Linked DNA regions of Caenorhabditis elegans. The protein of the gene in region 2 purifies or fractionates together with the protein of the main gene of each other region. This does not show direct contact. Each region holds a gene or a part of one and is shown on either strand. Other genes may lie near its edges.

The links.
Region 1: the proteins of tat-6 (region 2) and pyp-1 fractionate together in Caenorhabditis elegans (co-fractionation; one large-scale study listed by BioGRID). This does not show direct contact.

Annotation. Positions count from the first base shown.
Region 1 is NC_003282.8:9,994,834-9,999,855, forward strand, and holds pyp-1 (Inorganic pyrophosphatase 1), read right to left. Parts: upstream 3,131-5,022; coding exon 2,924-3,130; intron 2,878-2,923; coding exon 2,726-2,877; intron 1,959-2,725; coding exon 1,828-1,958; intron 1,781-1,827; coding exon 1,290-1,780; intron 1,238-1,289; coding exon 1,071-1,237; intron 1,027-1,070; coding exon 891-1,026; 3' UTR 552-890; downstream 1-551. Other genes in the region: uba-1 (E1 ubiquitin-activating enzyme), read right to left, coding at 1-90; C47E12.3 (alpha-1,2-Mannosidase), read right to left, coding at 4,474-4,686, 4,742-5,022. UniProt on the Caenorhabditis elegans protein: Catalyzes the hydrolysis of inorganic pyrophosphate (PPi) forming two phosphate ions. Plays a role in intestinal development and subsequent normal secretory, digestive and absorption functions. Required for larval development.
Region 2 is NC_003283.11:3,127,106-3,133,915, reverse strand, and holds tat-6 (Phospholipid-transporting ATPase), read right to left. Parts: upstream 4,814-6,810; 5' UTR 4,792-4,813; coding exon 4,610-4,791; intron 4,533-4,609; coding exon 4,382-4,532; intron 4,327-4,381; coding exon 3,817-4,326; intron 3,744-3,816; coding exon 3,497-3,743; intron 3,439-3,496; coding exon 3,102-3,438; intron 2,896-3,101; coding exon 1,723-2,895; intron 1,362-1,722; coding exon 1,105-1,361; intron 1,049-1,104; coding exon 900-1,048; intron 856-899; coding exon 667-855; 3' UTR 504-666; downstream 1-503. Other genes in the region: F02C9.2 (uncharacterized protein), read right to left, coding at 1-39, 84-211; Y73C8C.10 (NADH:flavin oxidoreductase/NADH oxidase N-terminal domain-containing protein), read left to right, coding at 6,146-6,400, 6,751-6,810.

The DNA.
Region 1 (5,022 bases), on a different chromosome or scaffold from region 2:
ATATTCGTTTTCTCCTTCACGCTGCAGCTTGTTATTGGTGGCCTTGTTGTTAGTTTTGTTGGCCGATGTTAGCTCAAGGATGGTAGTCATTAATCACGAAAGATCAGAACCACTGAAAATAGTTTTTAATTGATGAAAACTGATGCAGTTCGAATAATGGTGGCTTAAAAGAGAAGAATCTGATGATGAGCTTTCGGCGAGAATTGAGATTGAAAAGCGAATGATTTTTAACCACTGCACGTTTCGAAAAAATGCGAAACAAACTGTTTGTGGAAGATTCTAGAAGGATGAAATTATTGATTTTCATTTGAAAAAAGTGGCGCGCTTGCGAAATGAAGAAAAAGGAACATAAGTGGAAAATGGCGCCAAGTTTCTCATAGAAATATTAGCAGTAAAATAGAGCGCTTTTGCATTTTTCTTCTTTGACATAAAAACATCGCTATCGTCGTCTCGTAGTGTTTGTGTTCCTTTTTTGCGAAAGAAATTTCTCGATATTTCTAATGTATTTTTAAAAGTTCGTTCGTATATGTTTGAAATCAGCATTTTCAAAATTTAAATTGTTTCTTCTGTTTATCGAGTTCGTGCTGACTCTGCTCACTGCTTTTTCCAAAGGAACTTTGAATTTAAAAGATCTGTTTGGATTTGACAAATAATTCACGTATGGTGGTAAACCAAAAAGAAAACATCACATACATAAACAGAGAAGATCCCCAATTCAATTTTTAAAAGTTTTTCGAATAATGAAAAAAACAATATAAAATTAAAGGAATCAAATAATCAAATACGTTGGAACAAAACAAGAGAATGAGGGAGTCAGTATAATTTCAGGGAGCGACAGTGCAATAAATTTAAAGTTTTGAAGATGCTTCACGGCTTCCAGGGCGTACTAGTCATCCTTGCACAAAATGCCACTTATCAACATCTCCTGGTAGTGGAGCATTTGCTCCATGTTCTGGGGTAGCGCCAATGGCAGTTGCGGCCGCTTCATCAGTTCCTTGGTGAACAGCTTCTGGAACCCGAGAGACTCTGAAATTTGAAGTTTAGAATATTAAAAGCGATGAAATCCCTACGTGTTCAAGGATGGGTTTGCTTCCTTGATGAGAGTCTTCCAATATTCGTTGGTCTCATCGATGACTTTCTCCGCGTATTCTCGGTTCTTGAACTCTCCATTAAAAGCGAACTCGTTGGCTGGTTTTCCTGCTGGAATCTTGTAATTGCGGAACCATTCAACAGATGCCTGAAAGAAAAAAAATGAAACGTATTTTGAAAAATGTTTAATCGAAACTTACAGCCAATAGTCCAGGATAAACCTTTTCGACGTCATCAATGTCATTCAACTTGTCAGCATTCTCATCGTTGACATCAATTGCGACCAATTTCCAATCGGTCTCTCCTTCGTCAATGAGAGCCAATGTTCCGAGAACTTTTACTTGCAGAACAGCTCCCCGTCCGGCAACCTTTGATCCAACTTCAATAACATCAATTGGATCATTGTCTCCTTTAGCTCCAGTGTCAGGAACAACATGGTTTGGATCTTCCCATGTCTGTGGAAGAGCTCCGTAGTTCCAGATGTATCCTTTGTGTGGGAAAATGTTGTGAACAAAGCGAGCTACACCCTTCTTCTCATCTTGCTTGATTGGCGAGAATGGTTCCTTGGTGGCCATTTCCATTTTAGCATTTGTCCAACGTGGAATCTCAACAATCATGTTGTAAACTCTCTTGTCCTTGTTGGCGAACAATGGAATATCGTGCCAAGGAGATACGATTCCTTGTGGTCCCTCTGCAAAATAGATATTAGAACCAATAATTATAGCAGCTTCGACTCACTGATATAAACTCTATAATCCAAACTATAAAGAGATCCACGCTCGACGGCTTCGTAAACTGCTGAATCTCCGGCTCCGGTGCTCATTTTCACAGCTTGACTTTGCAAAATGACAGCAGTCTCCGACAAGGGCCTGAAAAATAATAATAATGCGAATATTGAAAACTACATGTGTTTGCGAGTGGAATTAGATGCTATCATGAAAACACTTCTACACTCATAACAGCCAATTATAAGTATAACAAACTTGTTTGGGTTTCGGAAACAACGACCGCAAAAGAGCCAAGAGAACATTTTTCACAAGGTTTTTGTTAAACTAATCTTTAAACATTTTGCCACTCGAAACTATTAAAACGTGGATTTGCAAAAGTTTTCACGTTAAAAGTTTAAAAAAAAAATACGCCAGAATTTAAAATGCGAATTCAAATAAAGACAATAAAGCAACTTGAAAATAAATTTCCAAACACAAAGTGTCATTTTATAAGCATGTGTACTGGCATCTTTGAAAAGTATGTTACATAATTATAGGCAACATTTCTTTATTCTTTGAGCATTTGGTGACGGACTAGTCTTATCAGCTGACACCGCCCGTTTGCAATGTGAGGTGACGGGGTAAAGTTTAGTACGCCTACACTTCATCTACAAGGGGCTGCTGGACAAACTGAAGTTTTGGAGAAGGGTTAAATATTTTTAAACTACGTTTTTTCTCAATATAAGATCTAGCAGCGATTCGAGCATGACCCAGATTTAGATTAAATAATTGTTTTCTTTTCTTTTCCGCTCTACCAATGGATGTGAGTTATTAGAAAGTGATAGAAAACATCAATAAGGATTATATAAAACGTTATCCTCCCTTAAAAACGACACAGACACAAGAAGGAAGAAACATCAACACGCAACCTCGTGTGCAGACTCCTCTCCGAATTGGCTGACATTTGTCGTTGAGCTCCCGAAGAAGAGGTGGAGACGGCTGTGGTAAGACTGCCACGAGGAGAAGGTAATTGGACAGTTGAGCTGCCGGAATCCATTGAAGTGGTGTGAATCGCAGAAACCTACACATAACCAAAATAAAACTAGAACAATACTCATCAGTCTTGCCTGTGTGACGTTTGTAACTGGACGCGATGTCCTTGAAGTGGCCCATTTCTGTGAAGTATTTGAACTGCTGGTGGATGTTGTTGCAGTGTTTGAAGATGACGAGACAGTGGCGATGGCGCTTTCTTGGCTCACGGCACAGCCCATAATAAGACGAGTTGATAACAAAAATCCTCTCGCCGTGGCCACACTTCGACAGCTCAGTATCATCTAGGAAGAGATGAGGACAACTACAGACATTTGTGAGATATATGCGGAAAACACGAGAGACGCTGTGGCGCATGCACATTTTCAAGCAGTTGGTGATATGTGTGGATTTGGTTATGTCGTCATGATAGAAGCAAGATTAAATTGAAAATTGAAACATAAGGCAGGATAATATCATTCAACGATTATCTAAACCCTGTGGCTCAAAACAATCAGCATAAAAAACTCTCACCTGGGCCCAAAAGAAATCCTAATTTCAGTCATGAAATTTTTGAACATCTCAATATAGATAACATCAACTCAATAGAGGTTTAAAATAAATTTGCACAAGCTAATTTTCTTGTCTAAAAGGCTCTTCGCATGTTTGGTGATAAATGGCTTCTTGTTCAATGGCACGGATAAAAGTTATGGAAGACATGCATTTTCAATTTCCTTATCGCAATAATATGTAGCTTGAAAAACGCAGAAAAAATAAAATTAATCGTTGATGTTCCTAATAAATAACTCCACTCAGTATTGATCAATGTATTTAATCACTCTTAGCAGATAATTTTACAAATACTGAATACATTTTTGAGAATTAATATGTATAAAAAATAACTAAAAATTTGATTAAGATAAAAACAAAACAAGAATAGCATTGCCAGCGCAGCAATTTGTAAAAAATAGGCCTACGAAAATATAGCAGTGTACACACACATCACACCACAAACTACATGAAAATGCAGACGCAACCCTCAGCTACGGTAACAGTGAAATATTTAAGTCTGAACGCATAAAAATAAAATAAAAATCCCAGACAGTTGAGAAAATATGCTAAATATTAATTTGCATTTGAAAACCACCAAATAGGAACAGTCGAATGCAACAAACCTCGTAGCCAAAAATACAGCGACTGTGAAAAGTATAGCAGCCATCATCGCGATCAGCGGCTTGTTTCGTTTGGCGATCAACACGAGGCCCATCAAGAAACGACCATCACTGAAAGATCAATCAAAGAACACTTCTGGGAGGAGAATCTAATATTGAAAACCGCTTGGACTTGTTTTTGCTCTGTGAGCAGTCTTCTCTTATCAATACCTCTCGGTTTCTCCATTCGCCATTGTATTACACTGATTACAAATCACAAACGATGTGTCATAATTGTTGGTAAAACTTAAACTCTTATTGATTTTAGTAGAATGTAAACATATGATTTCATTATTCTATCTTCTTTTGATTTATTTCTAGATCATTGAAATTCATATATTTTAATGCTAACCGGAAAAAAAATATTGCTATCACAGAACTAAAACCACATAAAATATAAGGCAACAAGAAATCAGATATGCAATAGTACAAATAAATTATAACCAATCGTGAAGAACCGAATCAACTCCAATAACTTTGAACAATTCACGCATTTGAGAATGACGAAGTGGTGGGGTTCCAAAAGTGAAGTCTGTGGCAGTTTCGCAAAATGATGAGTTGGTACGTGGCAATGGTTTGAGAGGTGGATCATATTGAGATGGCGGAGTAGGAGGCAGATTGAACAGCGGGGATATTGGAAATATGTGACCCTGAAATTACTTTTCTAATTGTAAGTAAGAATTCCTAGATCAGCAATATTCATACCTCTGTTGAAAAAAGAACACTTTCTTGCTGTTCCTTGTTAATTGGATGATCTACATCGAACAACAAGTATAAATACTTTAATGTTTCTGATAAGAAAAACGATTCCATTCGATCTTCAAGACTTCCATCAATGACATCATGCACAGTTGCGAAGCCACATTTTACTCGAGTAATTGTTTCTAATGAATCAAGAATTTCCAGTCCAACATGCTGATAAAATGGATTTTTCGTAGCAGTGTACAATAGATATGTAGATTCAACAAATTCTGGACGAAGTGGAT
Region 2 (6,810 bases):
GGCCTAATTTCAGCTACAGGCTGGATTGCAGAATGCAGTCTAAAACTATATAACAGTTACGACATATCACCTAAACGCCTAACCTGTATCTTTCTCTCGAATTCAAATTGTTAGAACAATAGTTAGAGTAAAAATAGGTTAGACCGACTACAGTGACACATGCTATAAGTAGAATATTGAGATAGAAGTGAAATATTGACCTCTGAATCATGAAAACAGAATAGCTGAAACGCTATAACTGATGTAAAATAATATCGAAAGATTCTTTTGACATTGTTTTTTCCTGTTGCCACAAAACATTATAATACGTAATATTACAGTCATCTTATCAGTAGGTCGGTGAGTAAATATTAGTTTGTTTTGACAGTTTTAGGGCTCCAGCTGAGAGAGGCGCGAAATGCGGGCCTCACGCCTGCCGGCGTCACGCCGACACCGCGAGGCCGGCGGAGGCGCCGTTGCGACGACCTCATGGGAGCACTAGACAGTTTATAACTAATTAATTGTTTAATGGAAAATCAATTTTTTATTATTCAAATCGGAAAACTAATTATTCAAACTGTATTACAGAAAATCACGGAAAAATGAAACATGTTCTGATATGATTATTTCTTTCTGAAATTAACCGGAAAAAATATATGTCTAATAGACGAGCACTCGGTAGATATATCATTTGACTTTGGCAAAGCTAGGCGGTGAAAACTTCCGCCGTAAAGTTTTGATAAAATACAATGGGAGAGAGGAAACTACAGTGATAGCTGTGGTTTTGGTGATGAAGACCCATGAAAATACAAATTTCCGATCGAAAAACTGATCTAAGGTTATCAAGGACACCACGTAGAGTCCTAGCGATAGAGCCTGTAAAAAAAGTACTCCAGTTTGACTACTTACTTTGGACATACCTGAGCAACTAGCATCAACCAGTGCCAGGTATGCACTGTCAAGGCTACCATGATAAGCTCAGTTGCGATTAGAGCTGAGAAAGAAATTGAGACAATATGCAGAATGTCTGTATCGAAAATTAGTAGTGCACCGTACATTATTACCGCACCTAAAAAAATAAAATGAAAAAATACTACAATTCCCCAATATTAGTCTGTTACAAACCTTGATAAATCGATATAAAAACCCAAATAAAAAATGTTTTGTAAGATAACGTTCTTCCTTTCACCAACTCCTTGTACAGCTCCGGATATGTTAGCGCATTTGTGGCGGTGACGTCACGGTCGGCAATCAGGGAGAACACTGGTAGAAGGGTATAGCATGATGTGAAGGCGACCATCAAAACACCTTGATATAAGGAGACGGCGACGAAGTAGAATACACAGGAGAATATGGCTTGTACTATTGAGATGAGGAGACCGCTGTAATTTGAACTATTATTGGAAATTAAAAGAGCAAAATTGGTATTGCGGGCGATAATGGGCAACACCGGGAGACATCCTGCAAATAACGGAGGACACTAGGCGCTAAGCCCGATGTCGCCCACATGTCGCCCGCTGTCGCCCGCTGTCGCCCGCTGTCGCCCGCTGTCGGACGCTGTCGCCCGCTGTCGGCCGCTATGGCCCGCTATGGCCCGCTGTCCCCGCTATGGCCCGATATGGCCCGCTGTCGCCCGCTGTCGGCCGCTGTCGTCCGCTGTTGCCCGCCGCCGCCCGCAGTCGCCCGCTATCGCCCGCTGTCGGCCGCCGCCGCCCGCCGCCGCCCGCCGCCAAGTAAACTCACCGATGCATTATAAACTGAGCCAATGTGCATGACCGCTTGTAGCTGAACCTTCCATGCACCAACAACAATCGGCAAATATGCGAAAACTGTGTGATCGAAAAATCTGCGGCAAGTGAAGCCTGTTTTCCTTCATTCGCGTCAATACCGATTCCAGCATGAGCCGCTTGTATCATCGACACATCGTTTCCTCCATCACCTATGGCAGCGACTCTCAATGGAGCTCGATATTTTCGGAGCAGCTGCACAATTTGTGCCTTTTGCTCTGGGGAGCATCGGCAGCACACCACGGCTGTGCTCGCGCAAACGAGTTCGGCGACTTCTTCTTCATAATATTGAAGGCATATGTTGAGAGAGGATCCAGGCATCACCAGCGCTATATTTGTCTTGTTTCGCAGGTTATCCAACTCATTGTAAGCATCTGTTCTGGTTTGTACACTTCCAAACACGTGGATATGATCGGATTTCGAGAAAAGTCCACTAGATTTTGCAATGCAAATTGCGGTCTCTAGCTTGTCTCCGGTGAGCATCCAGATTTTGATCCCGGCATTTCGCAAAAGTTCGAGAGAGGTTGTAACCTGATCTTGCAGCCGATCTTCCACTCCTGTCAAGCAAATCAGCTGTAAATCTCTCTCCAACATATTCTTCACCACATTTGCCATGTTCTGTGTGCGATTAGTTATCGACATTTTAGCCGCATGGTAGGCCTGATCAAACGCCTCCAACTCAGCGCGAGATAAGATTTTCTTAGCGAAAACTAGAGTTCGGAGACCCTCTCTCGCCATATTCGTGCACTCTTCGTCGAGCCAATCGTTGTATTGCACCATGTCACTCATCACAGTATCGGCTCCTTTAATGTAGAGAGTTACTTCACCGGATGTCTCTTCTTTGACTATTATTCCCATTCGTTTTCGCTCAGATGTAAAAGGAAATACGTGTAGAATTTGAAACTGTATTGGAACTGTCGTGCCATTTGAAGGTTGGACGTCTAGAGTCATTGTATGAAGATCTCGGTGAGCAAGTTTTACACCGACGGTTTCTGTCCATTTCACGAGTGCAACTTCATCAGGACTTGCGGCTTGGTAGGATAGCTCTCCGTTTTCCAGAACAGGTGTGACGTTGTGACAGAGGGCAAGTGATTCGACAGCGTTTTTCAGTTTCGCAGAGAATGGGTGTCTGAAAGATTTTATCTTGGACGCACAAATTCCAAAATTTAAGCCTGCTCCCATGTCTCGACATCTACCGGGTTCCGCGCCGCACTATGTTCGCCTCGCTGTGGTCAACACCCACAACATTTTAAACATAGAGCGGCGCGGAACCCGGTAGATGTCGGGCGGGAACTAATTTAGGATTTGTGTGTAACACATTTAAAAAAAACTAACTTCACAAGCGCACTGTCATATGCACTTTTAACATGTTGCTCGACTTCCTCCAACGCATCACCACTGAACGCAACAGTTCCCAGGTGAATCTTTTTGAAATGCATCTCATTTTTCGTCAATGTCCCTGTCTTGTCCGACAGCAAAAATGAGATTCTTCCCAACTCCTCAGGAATTGTTGATGACCTAACTACTGTTTCAGGAATATGATGGTCATGGCCAATTTGCCACGAGTAGAAGAGCTTAGCCATATCGACATTGGTGCGGAGGGATATTGGAATGATATAGGAGAATAGGAGTATGAAGCGAGCAAGGTACAGATACCAAAGTGAGGTTGGGCCTGAAAGCGGGAAAAGTAGATCAGATTTCAAAAAACTTTTGCTACCCCTAAACCATACCTTTCATTAAAACCATCACCGACGCTAGGAGAAGTACAAAACAGAACAACAGCTTTGTGAGATTGTTGATTTCCAAATCAAGAAGTCCAACTTTGTATTCAGGTACCGTAGTATTCATAACAGATCTGGTCTCACACCCGGTGTAAACCACAACCCCAATAGCAGTACCAGACGAAACTACCGTATTCGCCCACAGGACGTTCTCAACATCCAAGGATCCTTCGTGGATTTTGTCGTCGGCGGTTATCTGAATTTTTAACGTGTGAGTTGACGGCTGCGCACTTACAATAAAATATCCCGTAAAATTAAGCCCCCCGTACCTTCACTGTACCCACAAAACTATAAATATCCTTCTGCGGCTTCTCGGCGTAAACTTCACAGTTCAACTCCATAATTTCTGATTCATTGGCCAAATGTTGAGTGAATGGAATTGGAATTTTCAGCTTCCAATCCGTCTCTCCGTCCAACTGATCGGTTCGTATGAAGCATGAACTTGATTTATCAGAAGTTCTCAGCAACACAACATCTGCAGGAACTCGTCGATCTTTGTGCATAACTATGACATCTCCAACTTTTATATCAGCACTTTTGATCTCCACTCGTGTTCCGTCCCTTGTCAGCTTCTCGTACTTTTCCGAATTCAGTTCTCGGTCTCGTAAAAATCTGGCGAAATCTTCGATAGCTTCTCGAATCAGAGTTATAGTAAGGATGAAGCCAAGCGGGAACCAGTACGTGACGAGTGCGCCTATTTTGAAAATTGGCACAAGTTGGGAAAACGCCATTATGAGGAAGTAAAGATTCAGGAAAAATTTGAACTCTTGGAATAAGACCTGGAAAATTTTGTTGATTTTTTTGTATAAGTCGACAAAATACGGTAAAACTCACAACTGGTACGAAACTGAAAATATTGTATTTTTGATTGCGGACAGTGTTTGGTGGAAAGGTTCGTGGCGAATCGTGATCAATTGGTCCATATCCGATACGGACTGTGCGAGAGTGTAAGGCTCTTTGTCGAGACATTAAGGATTGGAACCATCTGGAAATACAGATATGTGGAGGTGGAAATCTCAGCTAGTGCCCAACGCCTTCCCTGGACAGGTTTGGGCGACTTACACTGTTAATTTTTCAAATGGCGATGTTCCAGGAAATTGTGTTCTGTTCGATTTTGAAATCTCTGTTTTATCTCGAATCCTAGTGGCCACGTCATCATTCTCAGATTTTACAAATGAAACTGAAAAGTCTTCTGTTGAAACACACTGGTTTAGATAGGCGGATTGCGTAAAGTTTTGCACCATTCAAGCCTTGGAAAGTCTGAAAAAAATTTAAATAAAAAAGTTATAAGAAACGGAAGCACGTAGTACCAGACTATCCCATCACGATTTGATCTACATGAAATGCGGGAACGTTCTTAACCATATAAACTCAGTTGAGAACTCTGCGTCTCCTATCCCGCGTTTTTTGTAGATCTACGTAGATCAAGCCGAAATGAGACACTCTGACACCACGTGCGTTACAAAAATTATAATTTTTCATTAACAATTGTCAAAAAAAAAAACAAAAAAAATTCTAAATCAGGCACAAACAGGCGCCATTATTTTTTCACATGTTTTGTGCCGGCAAAAACAAAAAACAAGACAACTGAAACTGCTTATTATGCTTGATAAGCTACTAGAAAAATATTTAACGAAAATCAAAAATTGAACATTAAAAGGCATATATTCAAAAAAAAATTCACTGTTGGTGCTACCGCAATGCATATCATTACTTGAAAAATGTCTACACCGCCCATTCTAGCTCTCGACTAAAAACGTTATTAGCCATGAAGCCCCTTAGCACCCGCAAAAAAGACAAGGGGAATGCGAATCGGTCTCTCGGCTCACACTCACATGCTCTTTGCTTCGCCATGGCGCTCATTAGTGCGCTGGTGTGGTTGTCAAGGAGAGCTGAAACGAAACGAAACGGAGGGAAACGGGATAGAGAGAGAGAGAAAGCAACTTGAATAAGGAAATTGGAGAGTTAACAAGAATTGTTGTGTGTTGATCTTGAACTTTTAAACATAAAATTGACAGAAAACGCTTTAAAACATTTTTTTTTGGCAAAATGTATATAAATTTGACAAAACTGGGTACGCCCGGCAAAAATTGAACCCAAACATTTTTCGCTATCAAGCAACCCTATTGTGAAGCATTGAACAATTGAAATTTTATTGAATAGAAGCTAAATTTTCAATATATGTTAAGAAGAAGCAAACAATTAAAAAAAGAAACTACACGTGGGAACATGGTATAAAAATTATGAAATTAAATGACTTTGCACAGGTAAAGCGGGACTGCTCAAAGCGACCCAATGACGTATTACTTATTCGCTTGGCATCAGTTTGCTAATTTCCCTTTTTGCAAAATTCTAGTAGAAATCTAAGGTGCCTTTCAAATTCTGTGTTTTTGTAGAATTTCTGAATATTCGGAACAAAATATTCGTTCACATTTTACCATCAATTTTCGAATGTTTTCAATCCTCTCGCTACGAAGACTCAACTTAACTACAATCGTCACAAACTGATAAGGGTAAATAGACTGTCCGTATCAAAATTGTAGCAAACGTAGGCCAGGGTTATATAAAGAATTAGAATTGAGAGATGCAATCAGAAAAATGTCTCCCCAACGTTTTCCCACCTCGACAACCTCTGCCTCTTCTACTATTCTTGGTGATCGCCTTAAGTTTCGAAATGGTCCAGAAGCCCAGAATCGATTTTTGAAGGCAGCATTGACAGAAATTCAGTCCACTTATGCTCCAAATGAACCAAAGAAGCATGGGCTTCCAACTGACACTATTTTGAATATTTATGACAAATGGGGCAATGGAAAGTACGGAGTGATATTGACTTCCAATGTTCTCGTTGATCCGGTAAGTATTCAAAATTTCAAAAAAGATAATCTGTAATATCGCAAGCAGACAATTTTTGAACTTTTTTTATGTAACATATTATTTCGACTTTTGTGTATTATTTGCATTAGTGATGAATTTAGCACTCTTTATCTTATCGTTTTGATAAATTACTCAAATAGAACAGTGAAAAATGAAAAAAAACAACTGTGGTATTTTTTTCTGTTTATAAAATCTGATTATACTGAATCGCAGGTATAAAACTGAGTCTGACCCTACTGCCGCAACTCATATTTAGAAACTATCTTGTGAAGTGTTCATTGTGCTTGACAACAGCGGTCTCGGAATTTCTGACTTTTTAATATTTTCAGACCAATTTGGAATCCGCTGGAAATGCAATTATCTTCAAGGAAGGAGAATCTCATGAACGT